Mytilus edulis: one gene and its partner. The protein of the gene in region 2 interacts with the protein of the main gene of each other region in a pairwise test. Links are inferred from orthologs where the notes say so. Each region holds a gene or a part of one and is shown on either strand. Other genes may lie near its edges. The genes, in order: cleavage stimulation factor subunit 2-like and cleavage stimulation factor subunit 3-like.

Region 1 (17,807 bases), about 23 Mb from region 2:
ATGAATGTGTTCTAATGAACTTTAAATTTTTGTTTTCTCTGAGAGCAATTCACTATGCTGTTGAATATTAATCCTCTCAAAAAAATGTTTGAAGAAATTTTCTTTTTATTTATGAAATTTCAAATGAGAAAAATTGAACGCAATTTTTTTAATCACATCCCCCTTTCCCTTATTCCAAAACTAATCTCAATTAAAATTTCTAATGGAGTTTGCAACAATAACTACTCATTTAAATACATCATAAAATATTAAGATGTAAAATAACTGCTTGTTATCACTGAATGGTAAAGATTATTTTAATTTATCAGTTGGTAGTAAAAAGTGAATATACATTGTATATTGTATATAACAAAGATTTAAGTTGATTCTGGACAAAGAAAGACAACTCCAATTGAAAAAATTCTTGCTATTGCACAATATTGTGAAATTAGATATTTCTTGCTTACTATTCTGGACAAAGAAAGATAACTCTAATTAAAAAAAAAAATTTGCTATTTCACAATATTGTGCAATTAAATATTTCTTGCCATTGCGCAATACTGTGCAATTGAAAAGACTTGTTATTGCACAATACTTAATACAATAATTTTAGGTCCTGATTCGGACCAACTGGAAAACTGGGCCCATGATCAAAAATCTAAGTACATGTTTGGATTCAGCATATCAAAGAACCACAAGATTTCAATTTTTGTTAAAATCAAACTAAGTTTAATTTTGGACCCTTTGGACTTTAATGTAGACCAATTTGAAAACAGGACCAACAAGAATGTGTCCTCAGTACACGAATGCCCCACTCGCACTATTATTTTCTATGTTCAGTGGACCTTGAAATTGGGGTAAAATCTCTAATTTGGCATTAAAATTAGAAAGATCATATCATAGGGAACATGTGTACCAAGTTTGAAGTTGATTGGACTTCAACTTCATCAAAAACTACCTCGACCAAAAACTTTAACCTGAAGCGGGACAGACGGACGGACGGACGGACGAACGGACGCACAGACCAGAAAACATAATGCCCCTCTACTATCGTAGGTGGGGCATAACTAGAGGCTCTAAAGAGCCTGTGTCGCTCACCTTGGTCTATGTGAATATTAAACAAAGGAAGCAGATTGAAAATTGACTACAAAGTTCAATAACTCCTACAGGGGTCAATTGACCATTTCGTTCATGTTGACTTATTTGTAGATCTTACTTTGCTGAAAATTATTGCTGTTTATAGTTTACCTATATCTATAATAATATTCAATATAATAACCAAAAACAGCAAAATGTCCTTAAAATTACCAATTCAGGGGCCGCAACCCAAAAACAGGTTGTCCAATTCATCTGAAAATTTCAGGGCAGATAGATCTTGACCTGATTAACAATTTTACTTCATGTCAGATTTTCTCTAAATTATTTGGTTTTTGAGTTATAAGCCAAAAACTGCATTTTACCCCTATGTTCTATTTTTAGCAGTGGCGGCCATCTTGGTTTGATGGCCAGGTCACCGGACACATTTTTTAAACAAGAAACCCCAAAGATGATTGTGGCCAAGTTTGGATCAATTTGGCACAGCAGTTTCAGAGAAGAAGATTTTAGTAAAAGATATATAAAATTTACGAAAAATGGTTAAAAATTGACTTTAAAGGGCAATAACTCCTAAAGAGGTCAACTGACCATTTTGGTCATGTTGACTTATTTGTAACTCTGACCTTGCTGAACATTATTGCTGTTTACAGTTTACCTATATCTATAATAATATTCAATATAATAACCAAAAACAGCAAAATTTCCTTAAAATTAACAATTCAGGGGCCGCAACCCAAAAACAGGTTGTCCAATTCATCTGAAAATTTCAGGGCAGATAGATCTTTGCCTAATTAACAATTTTATCCAATGTCAGATTAGCTCTAAATGCTTTGGTTTTTGAGTTATAAGCCAAAAACTGCATTTTACCCCTATGTTCTATTTATAGCCATGGCGGTCATCTTGGTTAGTTGGCGGGGTCACCGGACACAATTTTTAAACTAGATACCCCAATGATGATTGTGGCCAAGTTTCAAATAATTTGGTCCAGCAGTTTCAGAGGAGAAGATTTTTCTAAAAGATTACTAAGATTTACGAAAAATGGTTAAAAATTGACTATAAAGGGCAATAACTCCTAAAGTGGTCAACTGATCATTTTGGTCATGTTGACTTATTTGTAGATCTTTCTTTGCTGAACATTATTGCTTTTTACAGTTTATCTCTATCTAAAATAATATTCAAGATAATAACCAAAAACAACAAAATTTCCTTAAAATTACCAATTCAGGGGCAGCAACCTAACAACGGAATGTCAGATTCATCTGAAAATTTCAGAGCAGATAGATCTTAACCTGATTAACAATATTACCCTTTGTCAGATTTGCCCTAAATGCTTTGGTTTTTGAGTTATAAGCCAAAAACTGCATTTTACCCCTATGTTCTATTTATAGCCATGGCGGCCATCTTGGTTAGTTGGCGGGGTCACCGGACACAATTTTTAAACTAGATACCCCAATGATGATTGTGGCCAAGTTTGGTTAAATTTGGCCTAGTAGTTTCAGAGGAGAAGATTTTTGTAAAAGTTAACGCAGGACGACGACGGACGACGACGACGGACGACGACGGACGCCGGACGCCAAGTGATGAGAAAAGCTCACTTGGCCCTTCGGGCCAGGTGAGCTAAAAATGAAGAATCTACATACACAGTTAGATTTGGCATATCAAAGAACCCCATTTATTCAATTTTTGATGAAATCAAACAAAGTTTAATTTTGGACCCCGATTTAGACCAACTTGAAAACTGGGCCAATAATCAAGAATCTAAGTACATTTTTAGATTCAGCATATCAAAGAACCTAACCGATTCATTTTTTGTCAAAATCAAACTAAGTTTAATTTTGGACCCTTTGGACCTTAATGTAGACCAATTTGAAAACGGGACCAAAAGTTAAGAATCTACATACACAGTTAGATTCAGCATATCAAAGAACCCCAATTATTCAATTTTGATGAAATCAAACAAAGTTTAATTTTGGACCCTTTGGGCCCCTTATTCCTAAACTGTTGGGACCAAAACTCCCAAAATCGATACCAACCTTCCTTTCATGGTCATAAACCTTGTGTTTAAATTTCATAGATTTCTATTTACTTATACTAATGTTATGGTGCAAAAACCAAGAAAAATGCTTATTTGGATCCCTTTTTGGCCCCTTATTCCTAAACTCTTGGGACCTAAACTCCCAAAATCAATACCAACCTTCCTTTTGTGGTCATAAACATTGTGTTTAAATTTCATTGATTTCTATTTACTTAAACTAAAGTTATTGTGCGAAAACCAAGAATAATGCTTATTTGGGCCCTTTTTTGGCCCCTAATTCCTAAACTGTTGAAACCAAAACTCCCAAAATCAATCCCAACCTTTCTTTTGTGGTCATTAACCTTGTGTCAAAATTTCATAGATTTCTATTAACTTAAACTAAAGTTATAGTGCGAAAACCAAGAAAATGCTTATTTGGGCCCTTTTTGGCCCTGTAATTCCTAAAATGTTGGGACCAAAACTCCCAAAATCAATACCAACCTTCCTTTTGTGGTCATAAACCTTGTGTTAAAATTTCATAGATTTCTATTCACTTTTACTAAAGTTAGAGTGCGAAAACTAAAAGTATTCGGACGACGACGACGACGACGACGACGACGACGCCAACGTGATAGCAATATACGACGAAAAATTTTTCAAATTTTGCGGTCGTATAAAAACTTGCTAGGTTAGTATAAAGTTTGTGTTTACCTCACCAATGTAGATAATTTGAAATTCTCAATTTTATAATTATTTATCATATTCTTACCTAAAACTAACAACAGGTCCAGCTTGAGCAAATATTTCTTTCAACTTTTCTTCTGTAGCTTCATACGGAATGTTCCCGACTGAAATTATGAACAATAATGTTGAGTTAAATCTAAATTTTTGAAGCTAAAATACATACATGTATAATTTAAAACTTCCTGTTTTGTAAAACTGAAAAAAAAAGGTAATTTATTAAACTGACAGACATGCACGAATAGTCACATCAACTTATGTGTACGTTTTACTTTGCTAAACATTTTTGTGTTTCACAGTTTCTCTTGATCTACCAAAGTTTCTCAAAAAAAATTAAATAAAAATTGGTGAAAATTAGGGCAATTATTCCTTCAATAGATAATTAATAATTTCAGTCATGTTGTCTTATTTGTATGGATTACTTTGCAGACATATCTATCAGCTTTTTGCATAGTAAGGGTTAAGTGCTATAAGGCTTAAAATATATTATTCCATATTGATTGTGTTTCGCCATTTTCCATTCTGTTTTGCCATATTTCATTTCGATCTATTTCTTTTCAATTCGGTTTCTTACTTTATCAGTACCACTGATCTAACATTAACAGTTGGTTGTCTATTTTGTTAGATATTTTGAAAGAAAATATTTAAATGACTTTCCAATTTTTCAAGTATTACAAAAAACAGATCTATTAGACCTTTCTTGAGCTGATAACAGAGGTGGTATTCACTGAGTGTTTTTTGCATGGGGGCTGCTAGTCCAAAGTATAATGACCTCTTGCAAGGCTATTTTTTTACCCTGTGAGTTGTAGACCTAGGAAGGTGTCACAGAAAAAAATAAAATACTTAAATAGCCTAGCAAAAAGTCATATAAGTTAGTAGTCCAAATAATTATGACGTCTTGGAAGGCTATTTTAAACTTTTGCTTTGACGTCGATGTCAAAAAAAATAAATTGGGACAATTTCATTGTACTAATGAACTCAAAATCGTAATTTTTTTTGTTACTATTTTTGAATCCCGCATTTGCGTAGAAATCTACTTCCTTTTTCCAGTCTTGTTGTCTTGAGACTTTGCATAAAATATATAGTAATCAGTCTAGTAAAATATAGGAAGGAACACAATACCAATTTCATTTTTAATGATTCTTTGATATGATAAAACGTTACCCAATGAAAAAAATATTTTAACATATATATATTTGGAAGTTAAAATACATGGTTGAAATAAAAAAAAAAAACAAGAATGTGTCCTCAGTACACGAATGCCCCACTCGCACTATCATTTTCTATGTTCAGTGGACCGTGAAATTGGGGTAAAATCTCTAATTTGGCATTAAAATTAGAAAGATCATATCAAGTCGATTGGACTTCAACTTCATCAAAAACTACCTCGACCATAAACTTTAACCTGAAGCGGGACAGACGGACGAACGAACGGACGGACGAACGGACGGATAAAAAAAGGTATACAGACTTTGTCCCCTTTCACTGGTAATGCCTGCCTCATATTAAATAAGGTGCCTATAAGTATCATCATGTGATGGGTTTTCGTACTAATAAAATTTTTAACTGCTAAAGGATTTCACTGTTGAGTTTTTATCGACTTGTGAACTCAGTGAGGCATGTTTTTGGCTTTAAATTAAAATGGCTAATCTGGTCAGTTTTATTAAATTTGTTCTAGCGTCTTTTAAAGCGACTTTGAATATGTTTTAAATTTGTCAAGTTGTAGTGTTGTTGTTGTTTCAAATATAGAAAATGAAAAAACCTGCCACAATATACACGTGTGCAATCAAAACCAATCGCGCCCATTCACGTTCGCATCCTATGCGTTCGTCCCCCAAAGTCTGTTTGCACCCTACACCACGTTTTTGCCCAAATTTTATTTATACTATCATTTACTATGAAATACAAATCGTACATAATGTCATTGTATCTTCATATCTTTTTTTGGCAGAAAAAATGATAATGATCGAGTCAAAGTTTTATTGGTTTTGTGTTTAATAATTTGTAAACGAGTATTGGAAAGTGTGTTGCAATAAATATTTGGCTTTCATATTGTCATATTGTCATACTTGTCTAAACACACATGAGATCTGTCAAGTATTTGCCACTGTACAATTGCTTAGTAACTAACGTCACTAACGTTACCTAACCACAAGAAACACGATATTAAGATCAAAGGAGACAGCTGTTAAAAACAATTATATTTTATGATTTTTTTTAATTTAAAATCTTCAAAGATTTAGTCATACCAAGCTAAATATATGCAGTTATTTACATCAAAGCAAGTTAAAAGACTTACAATCATAATTTTTAATCACTAAAAAATAACACCAAATTAGGCAGTAATCATATGGGTCATTCTCAGTTATTCAGCATTTTTTTATATACCTTGGTGAAAAATATAAATGTTGGCTTTTGGTCCATTTTTTGGTCTCAAATTGAGACTAAAACATTGATCTTTATGGTTCTAATAATAAAAAGATAGTTCAGTATGTGGAAATATATTTTAATTGAATTTTTTTAACAGTACCCTCTGTGTTTTGGATGTTATATATTTTTCATTGACAGTATCATATATGCATTAAATGTACAATTTCAATAGAATAATTCATATATTTTAGATAAAGAAGTTAATATCTTTAAAATTAAAATCATTTATCAACTGATATTACAATAGAAAGGGAGTAATTATGTATAATTTGTTGTTGTGGATGTGACTCAAAATTAATACATTAAAAGTTTAGTTCAACAGTTTGTGTGTCAATTATTTTTAAAGGAGAATTTATAAGATTTTGTTGTGGTTATTCATTAAACAGATACATTGGACTTTTCAAATAAATACTCATTATTGCATATATTTTTTTACGGAATTATTATGGATGTCATGGATGTTACATTTTGACAATTGACAAAATGGAATTTGTATAACATCCAAAACATAAAAAATATCCTGAGTTTGTGCATCAAACAGTAATGTCCAAAACATGTCACAGAATTATAAGTATATTTCAGAGCAACAGTTAAACCATACACATGTTAAACTAATTTTAGTTTATATAATATAATAGTACCATGTTTATATTCCCTCAATTAAAATTTAATGGGGTTAGTTTGTTCTTTCTGTTTTGGATGTTACTTGTTCAAGTAAAATTTAGGTCACAATAACATCCAAAACAAGTGTTTGTGCATCAAACAGTAATGTCCAAAACATGTCACAGAATTAGAAGTATATTCCAGAGCAATGGTTAAACCATACACATGTTAAACTAATTTTAGTTTATTGTAAAATAATAGTACCTTGTTTATATTCCCTCAATTATAATTTAATGGGGTTAGTTTGTACTCCCTGTTTTGGATGTTACTTGTTCGAGTAAAACAGTAATGTCCAAAACATTGATCATTGATTTGAACATTGTATAATAAAACAGATAATAACTTTGGATATTGTTTTATTTTTCATCATCCAGTGCTACGATATTTAAATAGTGCAGATACATATTTTAATATATAACTTATTTTTAACTAAAATCGTACGGACATTACGCAACCACATGCTTATCACGTCAAAATATAACATCCACAAAAAGGTTTACAGGTCAAAATGTCACCGTCCATATGCATCTGTGTTGTTTATCGTCAAATTGGCAATTTCCGTCATATTATATTTACCTATATATTGAACCACGTAAATAACTGATCACGCAATGAAAACTTACCATTTAGTTGCGTATTTGTTACAATATCAATGAATTTAAATTAAGTTTTGGATGTTACAATTTGCTTTCGCCTGACCGAACTTAACTTAACTCGCATTTTCGAAAGTCCCACGGCTGCTTTGTGTACACAAAGATCGATGACATCTTTTTGGACGAGTCCAAACTTTCATTTAGGGGGGTTGGATATCGGACGATTGTAATATTGGAAGTAAACGAGGATTCGTTTTGGATGTTAATTATTGACCGATATTACCACGTCTGTAAAAGATTGACGATTTCTTTTTATTATGAAGCCCTGCATGTCATATCATTTTACAAAATACATCTAAAGAACAACAAAACCCCTGTTTACTTTGCGAATAGTGTTGTCCACATTCTGTTCTGTGTAAATATTTATCGCAAAATTAGCTAAGGTTTGACCGATGCAGTAACATCCATACACTAATTTTTATTACTAAAATATATATATTAATAATGCCCTGTTTATTATATTTTATACATGAACAAGTAAATCTGAGTATATAGTTTTTATTATTCCTTAACTTGCCCTGGTTGTGCATACAAAAATGACATAAAAATATGATTAAATATGACCATGGAAAAATGTCCCAAAATGGACGCCATCAAAACACCCTTTTTTTATTTTAAAACTCTTGTAAATTTCTTTCTTCTCCACTTATCATCCTTAAATTATCTTTAATATCTATTCAACATTAGTAGAAAAGAATAACACATCAGATTTGCCAATATCTCCTTTATTTTCTTCACAAATTATCATCAAAGTCCAATGGTACTGAATTGCTGATTAACTGAGAATGATGTACATAATTAACATTTTATAGTTTAAAATCCATCAAATTAAAAAAAAAAAAAAATGTGATAATTCCTCCAATTTTATTCAAGAAAATAAAATTATTTGGTGAATATACATATAAAAAATATCTAATTATTCAATGAAATTCTAATACAAATTTGGCGCGAACGTGTAGGGTGCGAAAGGACTTCAGGGGCGAACATGTGAGGAGAAACGTGTAGGGTCAAAAAGTATATTGGGTGCGAAAAGACCTGATACCGATGAAATATGGATGATACGAAAACATATGACTAGACGATATAACTTGTATAAATGTAATTGGAAGGGGGCCACCATCTTCAAAGTTATTATATATTTTACTGGAAAAGGCACAGGCATTTGTAACTGTCAACGGGGGATTTACTTTCCACACTCTGCGAAAAATTATACAAGTGTGAAAAAAAAACATTGACATAAACAAGTCCTGTGCCGTGGGAAAAGGGGAGACAATCGAACATAATCGATAGATCGTCTATCTCGTTGGTGATCAGCTGCTTACATGGATATAATCTAAAAAGAATGACTTCACAAATTTAATGTTTTACCAAATACAGATCTATTTGATCTTTCTTGAGCAGTTAAAGGAGATGGCAGTATTAACCCATTATTTTGTTGCATGGGGGCCGCCATTTTCAAATTTATTCTTTAAATCGAGGTTTTAAATCATATCTTTGAAAGATAGAAAATACATATCTGATCAATTAGTTTCTTCTTTATAAATGAATATAATGAGAGTTTTATATTGCAAAACCTTGAGTTTAATTTCATATACACAAATATATTTGATTTTTTGTTTCAGAGACTTTAAATCATTACTGCGTTTTTTTATACGAAAAGATGGCCAAGGATTCAAGCGTTTGATTGTCTCAGGTTGAACAAATGTTGTAAATTTTGACCTCCAGTGCTCTCTTTAAAAATTTCATAAGATGGCAAGCTTATCATGGTCAAAATATTTCATGAGGTGAAAAAAAGTTCCATACCATAATAATTATGTAAAATGAAAAAAATAATAAAGTCACTTTGAGTCAAATGTTTGAGCCGAAGCGTTCTCAGACTACCAAAAGTGCTAATTATTACAACAACATTCAAGTTTCATCAAATCTGCCAAACATTGGAAATTATTCCACTCTGTTTGCAAAAAAAACAGAGAAAGTCAGACTCACTGATCACAATGTTTAAAGATCTGAATACAACTTGATTTCACTCTTTCAGGGCCGTAACTAGCCTCTTCAAATAGTGAGGCAAAAGATATTTAAGGTTCATGTGGACCCTAAGGCTAAAATGGCCGTATTTTCACCTCAAAATACACTCTGAGTACAGACAAACCTGCGCATCTGTAAAACATTTCAGGCATAGCATGCCCTGGATAAATGAATTTTAAGTATGTTTTATGTTTTAGAAAAATAAAAACTTACCAGGATTTTGCCGTGCACTCTTTTTCATTCCTCCAGAAGGTGCCAAAAAAACTAAGTTGGGAAACAGGTTTGAGAACTTCCCCACAAGTAAAAATTAAAGTGAGCATTTTTAATTGACATGGACATTAGATGGACAATAGATACCTGACAATAATTGGTTATTTAAACTGTGTACCTGAGTGGACCATATCAAGGTAAACTCAACTGTTTGTTAATTTTATCATCTTCTGCAGAGACGAAAAAAAGTGTACGGCAAAATCCAGTTAAGTTATAAATTTTCTAAATCATACAATGCATTTGAATTCTATTTATCTAGGGCATGCTATGCCTTAAAACTTTTTCAGATGCACAGGTTTGCCTGTACTCAGAGTAAATTTTGAGGTGAAAATACGGCCATTTTAGCCATAGGGTCCACATGAACCTTAAAGAATGTAAAAATTTTTACTCCTTGGATATATGTTCAATAAATTTATTTGGCTATTAAACTGTGAGTCTATTAATATTTTAAAACAACTTGGCTATTTCTTATCAAAACACCTGCCTTGAGTAAACATTTATAATATAACACTGGGATACTGTAAGTAATATTTAAAATGTCTAACTTTTTAAAGCATACTGTTTTGTTGTTTTGCTTTATTTTATTTGTAATTGTTTGTAACTATATATTGTCATGAATGTATATGCACTATGCCCCTTGAGGGTACCTCTTATGGAAATAAAAGATATTCTATTCTATTCTATTCTATATGGCCGAGCGGAGCGAGGCGCAAAAATATTGGAGAGGGGACTGGGGGCCGCTCAAGGCCCCCAGAAGCTCTGAGAAAACTAACACACAATCGTGCATTCTGAGCGTTTCCAAGACTCTTTCTGACATTGAATTGCAATTAATTTTTAGCTTTTTTTCGACAATATTCTGGTCTGAAAGCAAAAACATAGATTTATTGTATTTTAAGACTTTAAGGTTTTATGGTCAACATTAAAAGACCGATATGTAGGACAAAGCAAAATTCGTAATTCTCATAATCATTAATGCGGTATGGGCTTTGCTCATTGTTGAAGGCCGTACGGTGACCTATAGTTGTTAATATCTGTGTTATTTTGGTCTTTTGTGGATAGTTGTCTCATTGGCAATCAGACCACATCTTCTTCTTTATATATACTGTCTGTCTGTTTTAGTCTTGTATTGTGATTAGACTTTGGTGATATTTTTATGACTAGATTGAAATATTGTGACAGTGCAGTATTATGCTTTAAATACTAGTACTGCTTAAGACGACACTAGGGACACTTGACCCTGTTTTACGATATAAATGATTCTTTTATTGTTGAAGACCCTCCAGCAACTTTGACCAAATGATTGATCATTAGTATTTTTTATGCATTGACTTTGTGTGGGATTAGGTTTCGTGCACATTTACTCCATATTCCTTTATTTTCTGTAAAAGGGTCTGAACATGACTTAATGCAAGTTTAACCCATCAATGGAAATGGTCATATGGCAATACATTATTGATTTGTGTCAAATTATTTGATACTGGAAAATTGGTGACCTTATTTTCATTTAAACCATGTCAGGTATCTAGTTTTATCAACCAAAAGTAGCCAGTTGTGAATTCTTTGATATCAAATTCAATTCTCCATGCAGAAACGACCATTTTTTTCTGTGTCTTGTATATTCTTAAAACATTTTCTCGCACAATATCTGGACATCGGTGGGCATGCAACATTGCAAAACCACATGTTTACAAATGAAAATCAACACTCAGACTATTGTCATACAGTACGACAATAAATAAGCAAAAGACAAACTCGGGACACAGAAGTTCAAACAATAGACCATCAACTCTGAAAACTAAAAGTAAAAAAGAAACATGGATCACGAAAAACATGCAGGGGCGACATCAGATAGTGAAGAGAATTTGCTTCTTGTTAGACACTTTCCGTGAAAACAATTTGATATTAAGACAATCTTTTGTTTCATTTTTTTTTTTTTTTTTGAAATTTCTAACATGAGGCATTTGCCTCATTTGCCTCAATGTAGTTACGGCCCTGCTCTTTAGACTTTAAGAATAAAATATAGCCTAATTGATAAATAAGAAAAATCACTGACTTGTGACCAAAAATTCAAAAGCTGTTTAATTAATATGAGGCAGGCATTACCTGTAAATGGGGACGAAGTCTGTATGAATTATTTTTTTGTAACTTAAATATTTGCTAAAAAAAAGAAAAGAAAATACCGTAACGTTTCCAATTTTGGTTCTGTTGTAAGGGATTTTAGTTGTGACGTTATTTAAGTTATGACATCATATGCAATGTAAACAAAGAAACGCTATCATCAGGTAACGTTTTTTCATATCAAGGAATTATTAAAAATGAAATTGGTATTGTGTTCCTTCCTATTTTATACTAGACTGATAAATATATATTTTACTCAAAGTTTCATACAAACGAGACCGGAAAAAGGAAATACATTGTAGATTTCTGCGCATATGCAGGAATTCAAAACATGACATCAAAAAAATTGAACGATTTTGAGTTCATTAGTACAATGAAAATTTCGAAAAAATTTTCCTGATTTTTTTTTTTTTTTTTTATTGATTTTTCTACTGTTATTGGGGACTTCGTCCCCATATTAATCTTAAGACTGAGTTGATAAAGAAGAAAAATTCCTTACTCTGTGACCATAAAGTTAAAAGCTGTGCTGAAAAGGGAGTAAAAAGTAACATGAGTAATGAAAGGTTTAATATTACTAAAGCAATGGGCTCAGACAATACATTTTATCTACCGAGGAGTACTCTAAAGAACTGGTTCCTGAACCTTTTGGTGTAAAAGTCACTTCTTTCAACTATGGTATCTAATATATTTATGAGGGAACCGTATCAGAGCAATAGTTGCTCTTGACTCAATAAGACCAAAAAAATCATTTTTAAGATATTCCAGTTTTAGTACCTACAGGTGCATGTGAAAACAAAACAGTTTACAACCAAGAAAACTAAATCCATGTACATTGTACAGCAATCATTATCAAGCATGAATCATACACATGTACAACCAAGAATAAGCCACTCACATGTACAATTAAGCATGAACAATACACTGGTACAACAAGCAAGAAACAAAATTCTCATCAGGATTTGTTGATGAATAATTTTTGTCAAAAATAGCAGGTCTAGTGCTCTCACTAAGATTATTTCAAGTGCATGTGTAAGGAGTAATACATTGTACCAGTAAAATAAAAATTATGCAATATTAAACTTACACTATGTCTTATTTTCTATTTTCATATTGTCTGTGAAATCTACACGGTTACATAGTACAGTAAGTATTTATTAATCTATTTGATTAGAATATGAAAGTTATTGTGTATGGAACAGTTGTGTATGTTATTATTGTGAAAGGTCATCATACAGCCTTTAACAATGAGCAAAACCCATTTTGTATATAGTATTAAAGCTGCCAAAAGCAGTGATTATGGCTTGATTTTACAACATGTGAAACAACTCAAATGAGAAAACCAACAGCCTGATTTATGTGTAATCACATAGAGAAAACCATGGCAACCATGGAGTTTCAGGAGACTAGGAACTGGCACAAAATATGTTTAGTTTTTTCCGTTTTTTTTCTTTTTTTTTTTTCTTTTTTTTTTTATCGAATTTCAATTATTTACTCAGTTTTACTGTCAAATATTCACTTTCTGATCAAGGTAAGATGATCTTAATAAATAAAAATCAAGCTTTTAGAGTGGTCTTGAATTTCTGCTTTATGAAAAGTGATATAATGTTTGTAATGGTTCAATTGAAATTTCAGTTTTAAGCAATGAAACCTAATTATATAAATAAAATTGACTTCTGATATTATTTTTGTGGTTATGTCACTTATGTGTTTGGTCTGTGGTAACTATTGTAAACTTTAACAATGGGCGGTGTTTTATTGTTAACACTATGTATCCTGATTATAGTACTAGTTATAGATATATGTGTCTTATTTTTTTCAGCATTTCTGGGGTCCTGGTAAGTTAATAATTAATGAATAATACATTTGTATTTAATACTATTTATAATATTGATACATGTTTACAACAGCAATTATTTAATAATCTTAACAATAATACTAGTACTGCTTGATGCATTTCATGTTCATTGCTCTTTAGTGAGCTCACATTTCATTCTACCTGCTGTACCTGCTTGCAGACATGTGACAGATTTGCCAAGTCAGAACTGGAGATTACATGGAGTTTTGACCTCATGAGTGAAGAAAATTGACATTTAATATCCATGCCATGATGGCTTTGATGTTCATTATGATAGTAATACTAAAGATTTCATATTTTTGTAAAATATTAAACTTCTGCATTTGTCAAATAGTATGTTGCATTGTATAACTTGTTTGCCACAAACCTCCCCTAACCTGGGGCAGTGGTGTTACAGTACAACATAAGATAACTATAACACTGTATAAAAGTCAGTCGAAAAGGGCTTAACTCATCAGATCGATGCAAAGCACATTAAAACCCTAACAAAAACATAAAAGACACAAAGTACCGATATGTGAGAATTTTCAGTTACTAAAAGTTAGTTCAAAGCCAATACAACTAATTAAATAAATGTGCCTAGGACTAAAATATCAATCAGTACACATCCAACATCCAAGAATATACACATGTCTATATTAGTGTTAAATTTGTTATTTTTCTTCCATCAACAGTTGCAAATTGGGGACTTCCTTTGGCAGCATTAGCAGACTTAAAGAAAGACCCAGAGATGATTAGTGGTAAAATGACTGCAGGTAGATATAGCTGTTTATAGAATATTGTGGATTCATTATTATTCATTGGGTACCAATTTTCATGGTTTTCAAGGGTAAAAGTGAACTATGAATTCAAATGTTCAACAATAACATATTTTCAATAGGCCTTATATACGAACATTGGCAAAACCACGAAAGTAAAATATCCACGAATATGCAAGTTTTCAGCGTTCCATGAAAATTGATACCCACGAAAATAAATGAATCCACAGTATTCAGGTTGCAAATCTATTATGGAATTGAGTTATTGCCCTTTAACAATGATTTTATGAGCTTACAGCGTTGTAGAATATAAACTTGAAAAGTGAGAAACTGCTAAAGAAAAAAATTGAAAAATAAGCAAATTAAGTTCCACTCAGTCTTTTCATTTCATTATTAAAATAATGTGATTGTGCCATTTGTGTTTTTGGATGGTCAGATTTTGAAGAATTCATAGATGTGGATTTTATTCTCTAATTTTACTGAAATGTCAATGTAGCAATTATATAAAAATCAAGCTGTGTTCCAAGAACTTTTCAATTTGAAAAGGATTATAAACCTTCAAAGCAATAACTATTGAAGGCAAAAGACTACATAAATGCTACACACCAATATGCTCCTGAATGGAATAGCCAAAACAGTCAATCAGGTAAACCTTGCAGAGACTTCATTTCTTTAAAAATTAGAATTATTTTAAATGATGGTTTATCATTTTATTTTGGACAGTGGCATTTTGGATTATTTTCTTAAAAATAGTGTTTGAAGAGATTATTTAGATGTTTGGAAATAAAGTTAAAACTTGTTATAAGCTTGGAAATTAAGACAAATGGTGACCGTTTTATGAATTTCGTATTGTAATGACAACACACAATAACATTTTTTACTATGCTGAAATGACCATTTATCTTCCAGCATAGGACAAACATGAAAATACCAGAAAAAAGAGATTGAGATTCTTCTCATGCACCTTTGTGATTGTTGTCTCTTGAGGAGAAATGTTCAGTCTTTGATTTGAGCTAAGAATATTAATATTATGTCTGCAGTCTATGCTAGTGTTACTGAACTAACATAATTACACTAAATAAAATTGAAAATGGAAATGGGGGAATGTGTCAAAGAAACAACAACTTGACCATAGAGCAGATAACAGTAGAAGGCCACCAATGGGTCTTCAATGCAGCAAGAAACTCCATTACCCGGAGGATGGCTTCAGCTGGCCCCTAAACAAATATGTATACTAGTTCAGTGATAATAGACGTCATACTAAATGTCGAATTATACAAAAGACACAAAAATTAAAGAATAGCTATAGGTATGTTTTGAGATTTCACGGTATAACTGATAATTTTTTAATACTTTTGCCTATTTATTTTGTAGCACTTGCAATTTATTCCTCATTATTCATGAGATTTGCTATTAGAGTACAGCCTCGTAATATGTTGTTGTTTGCCTGTCATATAACCAACTTTTCCGCTCAAATGATGCAAGGTGGAAGAGTAATCCATTATCAGTAAGTTAACATTTTACATTGTGTGTTATAGTGTTTATCTGGATATTTAAGGAAAAGTGACACTTAGAGGTTTCATTTAATATTCATGGGTGTTTCCATCCTATTTGGAATAAAGCAGTTCAGATATGTGTGTAAAACTATTTGTTGCTGTCAGATAGAATTTCTACTGTCTTTTTGACAACTACTAAGGATAGCATCACTCATCCTGTATCAGGGGTCTTGCTGTGCTGTGCTTAGTCGATAAATACAATATCATTATCTATATGCCATCATTTCTGGTGCAAAACCTAGTTTTTTTTTGAAATGTCTATTAAAGGAACAACAGAAATCTGGGATACCAAAAAAAAATACTGCCAAAAAATGTTCATCATAGAATTTGATTGGTCAATGTTAAAGGGGCACTAGCTGTCAAATTCATGTTCACCGATTTGGCTTATATCATATTTGATTTATAACAATGAAAAACATCATCCAAATTATTAAAAGTCTGAAACAATCAATAAATAAACTCATCAAAGATACCAGGACTAAATTTTATATATACGCCAGACACGCGTTTCGTCTACAAAAGACTCATCAGTGACGCTCGAATCCAAAAAAAATCCTAAAAGTGTTGCCAAATACAGCTAAGGTAATCTATGCCTGAGGTAGAAAAGCCTTAGTATTTCAAAAAATTCTAAATTTTGTAAACAGTTAATTTATAAATATAACAATATCAATGATAATTCATGTCAGCACAAAATGTGCTGACTACTGGGCTTGTGATACCCTTGGGGAAATAAATCTCCACCAGCAGTGGCATCGACCCAGTGGTTGTAAATAAACTCATCAAAGATACCATATACTGTAATAACAGGACATGGGCTCCATAATATGTAGCTTTGTTTAGTGTGTATTTTAGTCTCCAGGACTAAATTTTGTAAAAAAAAAATTCTAAGTATTTTTACTTATGAATGGACTTGGTTTTTCTGCTAGTATCTTGAAGGAAATTTTGTAAAAAATATATTTCCAGTTTTTCTGTATGTTACATATAAATACTTATAGGACTTCATTTTTCTTCCAGTTCACATTACATACAGTCTGCAGTTAAAGTTCTTAAAACCTTTATTAGATTCAAGTAGTCAAGACACTGGGTTCCACAGAACCCTTACAAATTTTTAAAAAATTTTGCCATATATAATAAAAATTTAAATAGTAAAATAGACACTTTGACCTATAATGGTTTACTTTTTTTTAAATTGTTATTTGGATGGAGAGTTGTCTCATTGGCACTCACACCACATCTTCCTATATCTACTTTAAATCACAAAAATGATCCGCAAGGCAAGATTTACTAACACACCAAATTTTGCCAAGAAAGTTACTAGTAGAAGACGTCACTCTTTATAAGAGTGATTGCCCAAAATATTTTTGACCCTCTTATGTGTTTTGAGCAAAAACTAAAAAAGATAGAAACTAAACACACTAAATGATCTGCAATAAAAGACAAACAAAACAGAGATTTTTGTCATTTACTCTTTTCTCATCCATCTACAATATTGGAAAAAGTCCTTTTTTAAATATGCATATATACCAATGTGATCGACACAGATTCTTTAGAGCCTCCAGTTATTATATGTCCATAACCATCATATTTTTAAATATTTAATATTCTTCAGTTATTTTACCCCAGTATCAGAGAGGAAGAAACATCATATTG
Region 2 (17,315 bases):
CCTTTGTTTTGGGCAAAACAAACAATACTAGGCCAAAAATGGATTAAGGTGGTACATAACACTACAGGGAGATAACTCTGTAAATCTGCTGAATGTTTTAACCACCTTATATTGTTGTGAAATATAAGCTTTCCAGGGGCGTAGCTGGGTATTTAGTCTACTGTAGGCACCAATGGTCAGGGGGTCTTGGGCCGCTGAAGGCCCCCAGCAGTTCCTACCTGCTTAGTAATTTTGAATAATTGTGGCCATTACATGCAGGTTTGAGAGTACTCAAAATTACTGGAAGCCAGTTGACTGATTGTTTTTTTTACACCCAGTGTCAAATATTTATGCAAGTTCAGGACTGTTGAAATTTTTCTTTGCAATAAACACAACTTGGAGCTAGATCCTGTAATAGTGTCGTCCAGGACGAAGGTCTGGAAATTTAAAAATGACATACATTGGAAAATGAGGGATTATTGGATAGGAGGAGAAATTTTGCCTTTCAGTAGACCAACTGCGAACTCCTCAAAGAGTTGCATTCTCTCTACAACTAGGCATCAGATTTAATTTCCCCATTCTGATCAGAAGTGGCTGCGTATTTATACATCCTGCATAGCCAAACGGACGACCAACATTGGCAAGTCGGGTGAAGACAAAGTGGAAAGCTAGTTGAAAACTAACAACAACTAATTAAAAAGCTCATGTGTCTAAGTTGAGGTTCATTCAAGTTTTTGTTGATAGAGGTGAAATGATCTGAACCAAAGTTCTAGTTTATAGTTTCTATATAAGGTAAAATCGTAAAAACATTCAATTCTATCCAATATTCCATTCATTTCACTAAGGACGAGAGACTAGTGTACACATAACATTCGATAATTAAAGAGTTTTGACAACTTCACCGGCTTTCATCTACAGATAATGTTTTTTTTTTTTTTTTTAATAAAAAAAAATATTTGTGAAAAAAAATGTGTAGGCATGTGCCTAAAGTGCCTAACGGCAACTGCGCCCCTGCTTCTCAATGATCAAAATTAGTGTTTGCCAACCTGCTATATATCCAATGAAATTTTACCGATAAAGTGTGTGGTTCAAGTTTAATTTTTTTTATATTTTTGTCAGAGGTTCAAAGTAAATATAGTTTCAGAAATTAAATTTTTAAAAAATTAAATGATCCAAATCAGTTTTAGTCAAGGTATTGGGTACCACCTTAAAAATATAAATTTGAATTGATCTATGCGTGCACACACTTAAGCGATCTGAAATGTTGACTGGTTTCACTTATCATGATTGAATTGATGTTGCAAGTGTGTAATATAAAGGTATGATTTTAAGTTAGTATCATAAAAACTGAGGTCAAGGTCAGATGAACCCAGCCAGACATACATAAACAACTTAGCCTAATGCTTCAAGTATATGAAAAACCAACCTGATTACAAAAATTGACTTTTGACCAATAAACCTTAAATTTGAGACCTGCCAGACAACATGATCACCATGCAATCATTCCATATACCAATTATAGTTGATAAATTGCCTATGAAATATGATTAAGGACAAAACAAGTAAAAACGTAACACTGACCAATAAATCATGAAAATTATGTCAAGGTCAGATGAAACCCGTCAGAGGAACATTTACACTACAATTAATTTCTAAACACAATATATAGACAAGTCGACCTATTGGAATTGCTTTGAGTACCTGAAGTGAACTTCACAATGAAAATTTCACTTTGATAACTGATCCATGAAATGAGGTAAAGTCAGGTGAACTCATCAGATCACCAGAGGTAGATAAAATGTAGGCCTGGGAGCAACCCCCCTTATTGAGCAACTTATATCTGCTCACTGTGTGATGGACATGAAGACCTTGAGAGGAACTCAAACACCATATAAAGTTACCTTGTAACTTATAGAAGAGGAGTATTCCACGACAAAAAAATTATTTTCAAGCAGTTGCTGAAACATGAAAACAGCATCATTGACAATGAACATATGACAGACGGAAACTTCTTAACATAAGGAATCTGCATACGAGGTACATGTATGTTTGGAGTTGAGTATGGCATTCATTATCACTGAACTAGTATATATATTTGTTTAGGGGCCAGCTGAAGGATGCCTCCAGGTGCTGGAATTTCTTGCTGCATTGAAGACCTATTGGTGACCTTCTGCTGTTGTCTGTTCTATGGTCGGGTTGTTGTCTCTTTGACATATTCCCCATTTCCATTCTCAATTTTTTTATACACATTTGACGATAACAAGTCAACTGAAACAGATTTGTTTCTATAATTAGCAATTCCCTATGAATAATGAAAATGGAGCACAGTGAAAGAAATAATTTTTACCACATTAAGAAAAGAAAGTCTATAAACAGCTATAGTTCAAAGCCCAATTTCCACCTACTGTACAGTTATACAATGTTCAAAGTCATCTGTTTTAATTCACACAGTATTTTGACCTCATGGACCTATTGACATCTTTTGTTTATTTTTATTTGCTGTATATGTGTCTGTCAATGGTCATTTTGTAGTGTAAAGGCTCAATCATGTAGGACATGCTACAGAATTTAATTTGAAATTTATGAATGGATTCTGCAAATTGACATTTTACAATGTTTAACCATGTTTAACCTAAAACATTTTTCTGTTTGTGTGTAATAAATATGCCTCAAGCTACATTTGTACTTCAATCAAGATAATTCTGTCATTGAAGGCTGAAACCAATAAAAAATTCTATACTTGGAATCAAATGAAAGCTTCCTTAAATTACTAATGCTTGAAGCTATCAATTGATGAATACACATTTGAAGCGGAAAATTTCACACATTCTGCTTCATATAAGAAATGTGCCATAACAATGAATTGTAGCTTAAAAATAATTTTCATAATAAGTTAACAATATACATGTTGAATACATGTGTTTGATACTTCCAAATTTGTGCATTTTGCACCTGTAAATATATTCAGCCTTGTGTGAAATATTCCTGTTAAGCTGGAATTTAAAACACAATTAAAAACAACCATTTGAATATGTCATTGGCAATGTTTATTTATGTACCATAACATTACCCTTCTTTTTCATGTTTTTACTTTATATAAATTAAATAAAATTATAAATAAACATCTACACTGATTACTTATCATCATGCAGTTTGAATTATATACATGTAACACAAAAAAATGTAAGTGTTAATATTATAGTTTTTAAAATATTATGTTGAATGCTGAAATAAAGATTTTCAATTAAACACTTCCTCTCATTCCATTCATTCTAACTAATACCTGTATACCAAGACTTATTTATAAGAGAATTTATTGCTTTTAATATATCTGTAAATCAAAAAGGGATTATCCCCCCTTTTAGTCAGGTAAATGTTGCTAGTCTTTAGTTTTCCATTTGTGTATTCTTGTCTTTTCTCTTCTGGCCATGCATTTTTTTATATTGATTACACACTGATTAAGTTTGATTTTAACTGGTTGAACACACTTTTCGAACTAATCACTATTGGCAGTATTGGGATTGGTGTCAAATGTTTGGTTCCAATTGGTCCAAAGGCTTTTAAAAATGTCACCAGCACGTGTTATTTCTACAAGATATAATATTGGCTCAAGAAATATGTATCGTAGGAGATGTAAATCCGACGCCCATTATGAAATTCCTCAATAACAAAATAATGGGCTTTAAAGGGGCAGTCCCGCACTATAAGTCAAATTCACTGATTTGACTCTAGTTCTCATATTAGATTTAAAACGATGTAAAACATTGATCCAAATTATAAAGTATAAAATAAACAAATAAAAGGGCATGGGCAAGATAATATTTAGCTTCATTTTGAGAGTTTTTTAGTCTGGATTCCATCTTATTAACTATGGAGAAAAAAATTAGCAGATGGTTGACAACTCTCATTCAATCACATTCACAAGTAAATAAGTCAACAACATATAAAACAAGAACTCTAAAGACTTTGTAAATGATTTATATTCATCATGTTCATCAGTAACAATGTAAAGTTACTTAACAGACCTTTTACCCTCAGTATGATATCACATGACCATAATGACTGCAATTGCAAAAGATAAAAAGTACCTTATAAAAATATGCAACTATAAAAAAGCATTTAAAAACAGAAATTTAAATCAAAATTGAATTCAACTACAGTATAGTTAATTTTCAGCACTTTAAGGTCATGTGACATCAATAGTAAAAACAAAATTTAAATAACCTCTTGTTCTATGTAAATCCTCCAATATTTTCCAGAAGTAGGAAACTGTTCTACAAGCTGTTCGTAGACTGGTCTTGCATTCTCTATAGGTTTCATCTAAAATTCAAAAAAGGAAGAAATGATGAGTTTTCACAATTGAAAACAACAAACATACAGTAAAAATGTCTTACATTTTTGTTTTTATTATTTTTTCTTAATATTGAAAGGAAATACATGAATAAGTAATCAAGTATAATAACAAAAGTTATTATACATGTAGTAGTATACTTTTAAATGATCAGTTATATTTTGATATTAATCATGAAAACGGTTAATTTATGCGAACAGATTCAATTATCATGATTGTAAGTTGTTACGATATATACCTGCAAGTCTCTTATTAACAAGCTCCATGATTTTTTAATAGACATGGTCAATTTATGACAATACAGATTCAATTATCATGATTATTAGTTGTTACGATATGTACCTGCGAGTCTCTTATTAACACGCTCCATGCTTCTGTATCGTAAGATTGTGTACGAATTCTCTTTTCAGCTTTCTTCAATTTGTCAGGGACATACCCCACTTGCTGAAAAGTTTTCAATAAAAATAATTGATTAAATCCTTCAACTGCTGTATTGTTAAATAAGTTTAAAAGCTTAAAAGGGGTCTATGATACTTTTGTATAATGTATGTTTATGTTAGAATTGAAACTATGACAATTATAGGCTTGTATATGCAGAAAGCATAGTAATACATGTATATATATAAAATATTAATACAAGAAAATTTGACATTGTAGTTTTCAATGTCAGTTGTCTTGAATAAAATAGTTTTCATTTAAATTATTTTCACTGATTTAAAAGGAAAGCTATTGAATGAAAACCAATCTATACAAATGGTATTATCATCATTCATGACAATGGTTCCAAAATGATTAATTGCTTGAATGTTTCATCTCTTTTTGGAGTTTTTCTCATCATGTTCAGTTTATGTTAATCTACCAAGTCAAGTGACCAATTTACAGCTTGTTGGGGCATATTTTTATTCTAAATTTTAAAGGGAGAGTGAGCAATATTGAACCCTTACAAAATAAAACTTTTCTTGAATAATATGATTTGGGAAGACTATTAAAAAAATATACATGTATGCTCAAACAAGCTGCAAATCTTATCCCTTTTGTCACAACTTTGAGTTTGAAATTGTTTATACATGTATAATATATGTGCAATTATATATTTTCTGCTAACCAACACATGACCAATATAAACTTAAGCCAATATGAATAATCCAGTTTTTAAGTTTTGTATTTTTAAACATAGTATGCACTTTATAAATCTTTATTTTAAGGTTGATGTGGACCCTATGGCTAAAATGGCCGTATTTTCACCTCAAAATTTAATCTGAGTACAGGCAAACCTGTGCATTTTGAGAAGTTTTAAGGCATAGCATGCCCTAGATAAATAGAATTCAAATGCATTGTATGATTTAGAAAATTCATAACTTAACTGAATTTTACCGTACACTTTTTTTCGTCCCTGCAGAAGATGATAAAATTAACAAACAGTTGAGTTTACCTTGATATGGTCCACTCAGGTACCAGTGGCGGATCCAGAGGGGGGGTTCCGGGGGTCCGCACCCCCCCCTTTATTTTGGCCGATCAATGCATTTGAATCGGGACATATGTTTGCACCCCCCCTGCACCCCCCCTTTGCCCTGGGCTAGCACCCCCCCTTTCGAAAATTCCTGCATCCGCCACTGGGTACACAGTTTAAATAACCAATTATTGTCAGGTATCTATTGTCCATCTCATGTCCATGTGAAACAAAACAGCTCACTTCAATTATTACCTGTGGGGAAGTTCTCAAACCTGTTTCCCAACTTAGTTTATTTTGGCACCTTCTGGAGGAATGAAAAAAAGTGCACGGCAAAATCCTGGTAAGTTTTTATTTTTCTAAAACACAAAACATATTTGAAATTTATTTATCTAGGGCATGCTATGCCTGAAATTTTTTATAGATGCACAGGTTTGTCTGTACTCAGAGTAAATTTTGAGGTGAAAATACGGCCATTTTAACCATAGAGTCCACATGAACCTTAATATCTAGGCTATGGTGTATAATATTTCCTTGAAACTTATCCAGACTCAAAGGTTAGTATCATGATCTATTCTGTACATTTTTAGGTGAAAGCAGCTATCTAAAACAAGTCTTCATTCTTAACCACACATTGGCATGTAAAATTGCTTTTAGGCCAACAAGCCAACTGAGCTGCGGGCTTTTGGGCTCATATGTAAGTTGATCGTGAATGCTGCAGACAAAGGGTCCAGGTGAACCTTAAGATATACATGATATAATGCTTAGCACTACATTATATATATTTTAAAGGGCACTGATTTCAAAACATGTTGTTAAATGCGTGGTTAAATGGCTTTTTATCGTCTGAATAATTTATAATACAGCAGTGTACGTAACGGTTACAGCATATCCATTCGTATCTTCAGACTCTGTCGCTTTATAACCAGATAACTCAGTGGCGGATGCAGGAATTTTCGAAAGGGGGGGTGCTAGCCCAGGGCAAAGGGGGGGTGCAGGGGGGGTGCAAACATATGTCCCGATTCAAATGCATTGATCGGCCAAAATAAAGGGGGGGGGTGCGGACCCCCGGAACCCCCCCTCTGGATCCGCCACTGTAACTAGCGTGTCAAAAGTCGTGGGTATAAACAAACAAGATGTCGCGTTGCATTGACGTTCTTACCTCCGGTGGCATTGCTGCCATGATTCAAATAAATAACTACAACACGTAAATAACAAGAACACTTCTACGGTTTCATGTTAACTATTTATTTGCAGTAGGCATCGCGTGTGTCCATGCATTAACAGCTTTTTCAGGTGCTTGGCTAACCGGCAGACATTCGAGACATGCTGCTCGTCATCTGAAACAAAATCGAATTTGATTGGTTGTAAAAACATCAAGGAAATGTCTAAAACAAATAACGTTATTTCGATCTTGTCCCCAATTTTCTTATTTCATATAATAAATAGGGAAGCTATAATTTAATAAATATTTAATAGAATAAACTCCTATAATTTTTTTTGAAACAGGACAAATAAACATTTCTATTTTAACATATTAAACTCAGAAATTTGGTATATGGACGGCTACTATTTAAGTAAGGGATATAAGCCGATAACAGAATGGACTGTTAGAGGATTTAGAGGCTTATAAATGTCTTACTTAAAACATTGTTTAACACGTGGAAAAAGGTAAAATAAAAGAAAAAGCAAGCAAAGATTTATTTTCCTCAAGTTTGAAAATTGCTTTGTGAATAAACTTTCTTTTTATTTAGATATATCCTACATGTTGGCCCCCTTAAACAGTAGCTCAACTTAAAAAAAAATAGACAAAAAGAAAGTACAGCTAAAGGTAAACAATATGTATTGCTTCATGAAGCCCATGAAGTATAAGACAAAATGTATCACTATGCGTATCATGAATTTTGTATTCAAAATCTATTCAGATAGTCTTCATAATTTCAGTGGGGATTACTAAGAGAATATAGTCAAAGCAGCTAATAATGGTAAGTTTTATATATATATTATATTCCAAAATGTAGTCCTCTCCTATAAGTTTGTTGTTTCTTGAATTCTCGGGATTTATTTTTTACTACGTGAATGAGAGAAAAAAAGAATAGCATATGAAGATGGGTTCTTGTTGAACCATGCATATCGAGTGCACCGCAGTCGATTTTATTTCAAATATATAATTAATATGAATAAACGAAGACGATGACTTATCGGGAAAAGATGTTGTTCTCGATCGATTTTTATCATTCAAACTTATTTAACTTGAAAACGAGTTCACGGACCCCTCTTTTTAAAATGCCATTTGGTTTGATTACGCGAGAAGATAATGGGTTCCAATTTTCATGAAAACGTAAACAGTGCATTTTTTTTTAAATTGGATAAATATACAGTAAACAATTTTGTTTTTTCTACATTCATGAACATTTCATAAATATGAGTTATTTTTGAATAAAAAATGTATACATTTTTAGGATATTTATAAAATACAGATATAACAAATTATTCATCTATTAAAACAAAAAAGTTTTGTCTTTCTTTCGAAAAGAAAAATACGGCCACAAATCCGAATTTTGAGCAAATATACAAAATTTCGACCTCATTTTACTCAAAAAGTAGCACATGAGAAAAATGGCTGTGGTAGAAGTATTGGTAGTGTTACAGATCCTCAGAGTACAGATCAATTTGAATTGTTGTGTTGGAAGGTTAATAAAATGGTTTTTTTTTTATTGTCATTTAATTGTTCTTTGGATGTTTGGTTGTATTTGAATTTAAATGTTGTTTCTTCATAGACAGAAAAAAATATTACAGTCATTCCTTAATTAAAATAGATTTGTGAAAAGGAGATGTACATACATTAATTTAAGGAATGACTGTAATATTTTTTGTCTATGAAGAAATAACATCAAAAATGTGGTGCACACTGATAACCCGCGTAGCGGGTTAAATAAAGTGTGCACCACATTTTTTATATTATTTCGAATAGGCAGAAACTGAAAGTATTACAGTCGTTTCTTATAATTTAATTCTTAAATCCATTCAGGGCCGTAACTACCTATGAGGCAGGGGAGGCACTTGCCTCCCCTGAATTTTCTACACCAAAATTTTTTTTTAAGTACTAAAATGAAATATTGACAATATGTACACGAAGAACTTGAATTTATATTATAAACAATAAAAGTTTAAGTTTTAACAGTGTTATCATGTTATATGATATATATCTGTCATTTTCCGGATTTTTCATCGAAAGTGAACCGTTTCAGTATTTGTTTTTTTTTTTGTGTGGCCGTCCGTTAAGCTGGTTATCAGCTGACTGCCACACCGTTTGTTCATAGAGTTTGAGTGTAGTGTAATACAAGCGGATTCCAGTTTAGCCGTCCGTCTGTTATTCAAACACATGTATATGAAAAACACAGATGAAACTTTGTTTTCGACAATTTTGAATAAAAGTTAACTATTTACATTTATTTACCGGCTCATTGAAGCAGAGGAAGTTCCCTTTGTATTGTGAATCTTTTGTGATATTAAAAATTCGTTACCGGCTGAATCAGCTGTCATTTTTTTTAAACGCGTCTCCAGATCATACGAGAACATTATGGTCAATGCCTGCGTAGTTAAACACTCCCATTCCGACGGTTGTAGCAGGGACTTTCTATACTAAGTAAATTTTAGAATTGAAAGTCCCTGGTTATAGTTTTACACATGTCTGTTCAGCTTTCAACAATATTGAAATTCAAGGTCCTCGATAAAAAAAAATATCTTGCGATCTCTGATCTTGCTTTATTTTTTATTTTTTACCTTACCAGTTTGATTTATAACAAAAATATCTTTAAATTCAGATAATAATTGTTTGAAAAAAAATGCTTCCAGGATCCAGCAATACTGATGTTTCTTAATCTTAACGTAAGGAAAACGAAGGAAAACGGGTTATTTTTAGCCATATTGTGAAAAAAAAATCCGAGTTTTCAATGTATTTAGTCATGGTTAATAATTATAGGTCAAAGTACGGCATACAAGACGGAGCCTTGGCTCAACCGAACAGCAACCTCAGCTTGTTTTTTGCAAAAAAATTGATTCAGTCAGGTTCAGGCAATACTGATGTTTCTTAAAGTAAGGAAATCGAAGGAAAACGGGTCATTTTTAGCCATTTTACTGAGAGAAAAAAATCGGCGGGGGCTATCTTGGGGGCCTCAATCGGCGGTCCCAAAACCCTGCCTCCCCTGAATTCGAATCCTAGTTACGGCCCTGCCATTCTAAACCGGAGTAAATCATGAAAAAATCTTGATGACGTCACGGTCACATGGCAAAATTGTGTATATGGGCCGATATAAAACAACTTGTGACGACGTCAGCAAATCAGAGCTAGATGCTTTACATCCAAAATCAAATTATTGTAAATTGTGACTCTGATGTTTTTTAAATAAGTTGTTAAAGCGTATTATTGTGTTTGTTTATTCTGCATATAAAACGTAGAATAGTCGTAGTATATAAGAGGGGGAGGACAGGGGTAAGGGAGACAGGGAGAAAGGGGGTAGGAGAAAGGAGAAAGGGGGTGGGAGAAAGGAGAAAGGGGGTAGGAGAAAGGAGAGGAAGGCTGGGAGAAAGGAGAAAAAGTTGGAGAAAGGAGATAAAATAAAATATCTCTCCTTTAAAAAAAAATTCTAATATTTCAAGAAAAAATTTCTCAAAAGGAGATGTTTTATTCTAATGGGAGAAAGGAGAACGGGGGTAGGAGAAAGGAGAAGAGGGGTGGGAGAAGGGAGAAGGGTACCCCCCTGTCCTCCCCCTCATATAAGGCTTTAGCGTGGATGGGTCGCGATGAGAAGCCGGGTAGTAGTCGTGGAGAGGTCGTATTATAAACGTGGATGGGTCGCGATGAGAAGGTAGTAGTCGTAGAAAGGTCGTAGTAACGTCGCTGTGAGATCGTAGCGTAGTATTTTCGACTAGAAACTAGATGGCACAGCGATCTTTGTGATCTGACTTCGATCTAACTGCGCTCCAGTCCTACTACTACGACCTGATTTCTCAACGTCCTTTTTTAAGCCTATAATACAAATAACGTATTATTATGTCATGTCCTAATAAAAATACTGATATGTGATATGCACTCAGGATATGCACACATTAGACACATGATGCTCATTTACGGTTAATATTATCTGACTTGCATATTGGAAGAAAGTGAAACAACGTAGCCTGGTTGTGGTAAGATAACCGACTTTAAATAAACAAACACTATCAATGTATATCACTGCATATGTTTTAAAAGTCATTTATATGTATAAGTTACAGGGAATTTGTAAAATCACTGGACTTATCAGTGATTATGTATAATCACTAAACAGTTTCAGTGGTTATGTAAAATCCCTGACAGTGGCGGATCCAGAAATTTTCATAAGTGGGGGCCCACTGACTGACCTAAGAGGGGGCCCGCTCCAATCACGCTTCAATGATTCCCTATATAAGCAACCAATTTTTTTCCCAAAAAGGGGGGGCCCGGGCCCCCTGGGCCCCCTCTAAATCCGCCTCTGCCTGAAATTGTTCTAGGGATTTTACAAAATCACTGAAAATAGAGCTAGGGATTTTGTACAATAAGTATAAAGTGTTAATGACTAAAAGGTAGTAATCCGATATCTAGACCACTGTAAATTTACTTATTTTTACATGTCAAGTTTTGGATGATAGCTACTGTTACATAATTGCCCTGTCTCTATCAAATCTATTATTTTGTAGGCAGCAAATCAATAATTAAACACTTATTTGCTTTTTGTATATCAATTTTGATGAAACCTTTAATTGTGGGTATGTTAATTGCTCTTGATTTAAAGACATCTGTGTCTGAGCCATCGTTTTATAGTACAGTATGTCAGTTGTATAGTACATGAAAACTGCTTACTTAATTAAGGCTAGATTAATCTCAAACTTATTGAGTGTTACTGTTGTAGGCTTTTTTTCACAGAAATTCTTTTTACAAATGAATTAATTCATTTTACAAATTCCCTGAATTTAATCAGTGATTTGTAAAAAAGATCTTAATTATTTCAGGGATTTTGTAAAATCACTAGTCAAAATCAGGGATTTTATAAAATCACTAATCAGTTCAGTGATTTTACAAATTCCCTGAAATTTCAGTGATTTTACAAAATCCCTGATTTCACAAATTCCCTGTAACATATACATGGTACATATTTGCCATTTTACAGGTTTCCTCATTTAAAAAAAAAAAGATACTGTACTTAATGCCCATTTTTTTTGTATCAATTTCAGAACAGTAATAAATGAAACATTTTACTCTTGCATCAACATGTACTTAAATTATGATGTTGGTAATGTACCTTTAATTCCTAGTCACAGTTATAGTCTTCGTATATAAAAGGATGTAATGGCAGGAATCTCAGGACTGGAATCCAACACAACAGGATCAGCTGAGCTCTGGGAAATAATCTGCCAGGTTGAGCAGTAGATAATTGGTTAAGTTCTGGTATCAAATCCAGTAATTATATCTTATATCTGGACCTTTACTTCATTCCTCCCAGTCTTACGGAAATAACAACCATCCATTAAAATATATCTCGCTATATCTTCAGAGGGTACATCGATCATAGATGCAATTAAGTGTCTAACTGATATCCTTTAATAGTTCTGGAGATGCTCCAGGGTATCCCTGGAGTAGATGGGGGGAATCAATCTACAAAACTAAATCTTCTAGGTCCAATGGACATACAGTTGATCTGTAAGATGAGTATTTGTTATCCATAAGTAGGAATTGCTCTAAGAGATGCCAAATTTACCGTTTGGAAACATGGTTTTGCATTGCCGATATTCCTCCATATCCCCATTAAAACAATGCCAATGAATTAGATGGTTTTCCTCTCGGAAAGTAGATAATGAATCTCGGGACATGGTCTTTAACAGCTTCTTAAAATTATCTCCTCTGCAATGTAAAACTACAGGTAGGCGTGCCTTTTTGCTATTCTCAGTTCTTTGCTGTTTGGATTATCAGAGGAGTCTAATCCCCATTCCCCAACTGCCACCATTCTATTTACACAGATAAGCATCTCTAAATCTGTAATCCACAAATTCAGGACACTCATTTCCTCTCCTTTTTTTATCCGTGGATGTATTCCAACAGTCGATATTATTTGTCAATCCTTTCTGATTTCTTCCATATTTTCTCTTGCTGGCCAACGTCTTTGAAATACACATATATCCCTTCTAAGTGTCTGATTTGGAATACTAACTCACCATCATTCAACTTATAGATCGGCTTGTTGCTTAATCATATCCAAATGAAAATGCGAATCAGTAACCATAATAACATTTTGAATTGATAAAGGGGTACTTTGATTTCATATTTAATGAGGTTATCTACGTTTTCAGTTCCTTTTAATAATAAGGCAAACATTTTTCAATGTACCAAAGAATATATTGCAGATGGAGGGATACAGCATGCATAACCTCTACATTTAATCTGTTTTCCCTATATTGTAGAATTTCAATAAAGGTATGTCTGTCCTGTGAAAGTCAGTTGATTAGTATTGTTTAAAGGCATCATCTGTTCGTATACTAAATAGTCTACCAGATGTTTTAGTAATCGCGCAATAAATAGCGTTGACAGAGTTCTAAAAGGAGACCATTCATTAGTTCTGTCCATACAGACTGTTGTTCATCCTTACAGTTGTGAAGCTAAAGGCAATGGTTTTCCAATATTTCCCTCTCCTCTGACCAAATTGATTTTGATAAGTTTTACATGAGGTTAGTGCGTTAGTGTTTCTGGGCAAATGTGTGTGGTATACATAAAAGTCATAAAATTGAGGATAGAAATAGAGAATGTGTCAAAGAGACAACAACCCGACAAGGACCATATAACAGCCGAAGGCCACCAATGGGTCTTCAATGCATCGAAAAAATCCCGCACCATGAGGCGTACGTGCCTTCTTACATTATTAAAACGACTTGCACATACCAGACATAATTTTGCCTTGCTCAGGTTCTTGCGTACTACTGCATTTAATCTTTGTATCTTCCTCTAATCTACCGCATTTAATCTTTGTATCTTCCTCTTATCTATCTGGATTTTCACCATTAAATGACATAATCAAGTCCATCATCCATACTTAGAATGAATTAGCAAAACTTGTTTTACTAAATATATATACAAATAGTCCAATAAACAATACTTGAGATATCTGCTGTACATATAGTAGGACGTCATTTGTCTTTTTCGCACACCAGTTTGTCCCCAGCTGGACCTGTTATATAATGTATCAAAACTATCAATACTTTTATCTTCATGGTTCGGTATTAGAGAGTTTTGACTAAACAAAGGAAAGGGGGTAGGAGAAAGGCGAGGAAGGCTGGGAGAAAGGAGAAAAAGTTGGAGAAAGGAGAATTTTTTTAATTTATCTCAAAAGGAGATGTTTTATTCTAATGGGAGAAAGGAGAACGGGGTAGGAGAAAGGAGAAGAGGGGTGGGAGAAGGGAGAAGGGTAACCCCCCTGTCCTCCCCCTCATAGAAGTATTTCTCTGTCAAAGCACAGTTTGAGTCTATCATGATGCAAAAATTCCTTTCTTTTCCTGTCTTTAATCTTCAGCAATACAGGAACACAAAACAAACACATACGCGGGACCTTTCCACGGAAATTTTATTTTCAGAGATATCCCTACTTGCATGGCTGTATCTATTCTTAATACAACCCAGCAGAAAAAGACGTCCATTTGACGTCTTTTTAGGTTGAATTATGGTAGCGATGTCATATTACAAAAAATACGTCAAAAAGACGTCGAGAAAACTAAAGATGTTGTACTTACGTCTTTTTAAGAAAATAAACTCATCATTAATATATCACGATACCATTTTGTACTTACGCCAGAAGTGCGTATCGTCTACAAAAGACTCGATCATCAGTGACGCTCGAATACAAAAAAAGTTTAAAAGGCCAAATAAAGCACGAAATTGAAGAGCATATTGAGGATCAAAATACTTAAAAGTTTTGATAAATACAGCTAAAGTTATATTTTCCTGAGGTAGAAAAAGCCTTAGTATTTCAAAAATTCAAAAGTTGTGTAAACAGTTAAGGTAGATGGGGTGTCTAAATTATAATCCATAGATTTTTTTTAATAATTTGCCTATATGTAGTTTATATTATGCTTAAAATTAAAAAAAAATGGGTCACCGGGCTTATTTTCAAGCTACACGGTGTTTTAAATTGACAAATTTTGTATAGATTATGCATGGAAAGCCAATTTTCTGCAGTAAAGCGTAATCTACACCATAGAATTTCGAGATTACATATTAGAAGATGGCTTTAATAGTATGCCTTCGGTTAAGAAAAAGAAAAAATGTGGTCACCGGACCCGTTTTCTTGCTACATTATAAAATAGGTAAATTCCAAACTCATTCTAAAGTAAAAGTACTTTAATCTGAATTATCTGCCCTTGCATTTGCGTTGCCTCCACTTATTTGGTAAAGTTGGAACAAAATTGATCGATCAAAAATACAACCATAAATATGATAAAAAATGTCATTTTCTATATTGAAGTTGAAGTTCTTACACATGAATTACATACTACTCTAAGACTACTACTAATATTTGCACATTCTATTAAAGATCTAGACCTTGTTTTCTGGTATTTTCAAGACACCCTATCTACCTTAATTTAAAAAAATGACCATTTCAATGATAATTCATGTCAGCACAGAATTTAAATAGATACTAGGAATAGTCACGATCTTAACATAAGTATGACGTCCCTCTCGTGCAGCTGCTTCAGAATCCGCGACATAATTCCAACGTCATATCAAATAAGTCACATTAAACTATATAATTGATATATCTACTCGTATACGTAAGTTACACTTTTTTTTAGTAATATATTGTATATATAAATCAATCTGTGTGCATTTTTTACTTGACCCTTGGACTTATTATAACAGAGATGATAACGCAACGGTAACTATCAAATTTCTGTAGTTGTGGTTTGTATGGGGGTTTATATATCCAAATGAATGCTTTCAAAGGGAGCTCCAGAGTGTTAGCAACCAAATTCTGTTTTGGCTCTCTATTGAGTTTTTTTCATCATATCTATTGCATATCTGAAATGTTGAAACATAGAGTTGACAATCCACTGTCATTCCCTAAAAATAAACTGTTTGTCTTAATTTTTCAAGGGTTTTATTATTTCGTTAATGACCTGCTGATTGTAAATCATGACAGAGATGAAGCATATTGCATGTCTAATTTTCCTTGGTAATCTTGGTGCAATAGCATTTTCCCAAAAATATAACATTTCTGAATTCGAGTAGAAATTTCGACTGCCACAGATGTCTTACAAATAGACTTATCATCTGCAAGTCTTGTTTTGTATTGTAGGAGAAAAATCGTCGGATAATATATAATAACAGTGCCAAGATCTATATGTCATTCGTTTGCGCTTCTCTCAGTTCGGTATCCGTAAAATGCTTTTCTTCTGTGGATGTGATATCTCTAATACTTACAGAGCGAACTGTTACTGGTTTAAAAAAGACAACATCTTCCTCATAGATGGACCACTGATTTTGGCTCTGGTACAGTATTTATAACCTCCGCATGGAAGATCATTAGGTGGAATACTTGACAAGTATGAGTTGCATTCATCAAGTGTATCCGGAATTCGAGACTGTGTTCTGCGTTTGCATGTTTGTTTACCTGGACTACTAGTATATTGAACTATCAAATTACATTATGATAATCGTAATTCCTCAATCCAAACAGCCAGCTGAACTTCGACATTCTTGAAATTTGATAGCCAAGTAAGGCTATTATGGTCTGAACGCACAACGATCTGATCGTGAAAGTTACAAAAGCTATTAACTTCTTTCGAGTTTTGCATTATTTATTTTGAGCTGGTGTAAGAAGTTTACTTGAATTGATTATTGTTGTCCTTTTCCCCTAGGTCAGTACCGACGTTATTGTCGAAGGCATCAGTATCGAATATGAAGGTAGCTTCTGGGTCGGAATAGGCCAAAACGGAAGACGTAATTTTTAATTGATCAAAAGAGATTTCCTGTTCATCAGTCTAGAGGTACGATTTTTCTCCTGTTAATTGATGCAAAGAAATAGCAATTTCAGCATAGTCATTAATGTACTCTCTATGGTAGTTTGTTAACCTGAGAAAAGGTTCAAGCTCGTTCTGTTTCTTTGGTCTTGGTCAATTTTTTACTGTCCGCATATTGTTTACAATTTTTCCTGATAACTTGACCTCTTTTTGAAATATGAAGCATTTTGACAGTTTAAGTTTTAAATTGCAGAACTTAGAATTTCTTGTCCAGATACGTTCAAGCTTTATCAAATGATCACCAAAGCTGTGATCTAGAACGATGACATCGGTCTCTATCTGCCAGTAGCCATATCTAAAGTACTCGTATAACTACTTATAATTTCAATGTATCCATGCAGGACACAGTCTTTGGCAAATGAAATACATTCTTAGTCGTTACTTTAATTAACGAAAAAAAAGTAACTCAGACTATCATCTTTTTTCCCAAACTCAAACAGAACAGGAACA

The links.
Region 1: the proteins of cleavage stimulation factor subunit 3-like (region 2) and cleavage stimulation factor subunit 2-like interact in a two-hybrid assay, tested with the Drosophila melanogaster proteins (2 studies listed by BioGRID). The link is inferred for Mytilus edulis from reciprocal best matches to the Drosophila melanogaster genes su(f) and CstF64.

Annotation. Positions count from the first base shown.
Region 1 is NC_092353.1:66,389,027-66,406,833, reverse strand, and holds the start of cleavage stimulation factor subunit 2-like, read right to left. Parts: upstream 9,059-17,807; 5' UTR 9,029-9,058; coding exon 8,944-9,028; intron 3,937-8,943; coding exon 3,858-3,936; intron 1-3,857. Other genes in the region: probable mitochondrial pyruvate carrier 1, read left to right, coding at 14,574-14,598, 15,976-16,108, 17,767-17,807.
Region 2 is NC_092353.1:43,453,185-43,470,499, reverse strand, and holds the start of cleavage stimulation factor subunit 3-like, read right to left. Parts: upstream 7,143-17,315; 5' UTR 6,964-7,142; coding exon 6,943-6,963; intron 4,775-6,942; coding exon 4,673-4,774; intron 4,300-4,672; coding exon 4,204-4,299; intron 1-4,203. UniProt on the Drosophila melanogaster protein: Essential protein, may play a role in mRNA production or stability.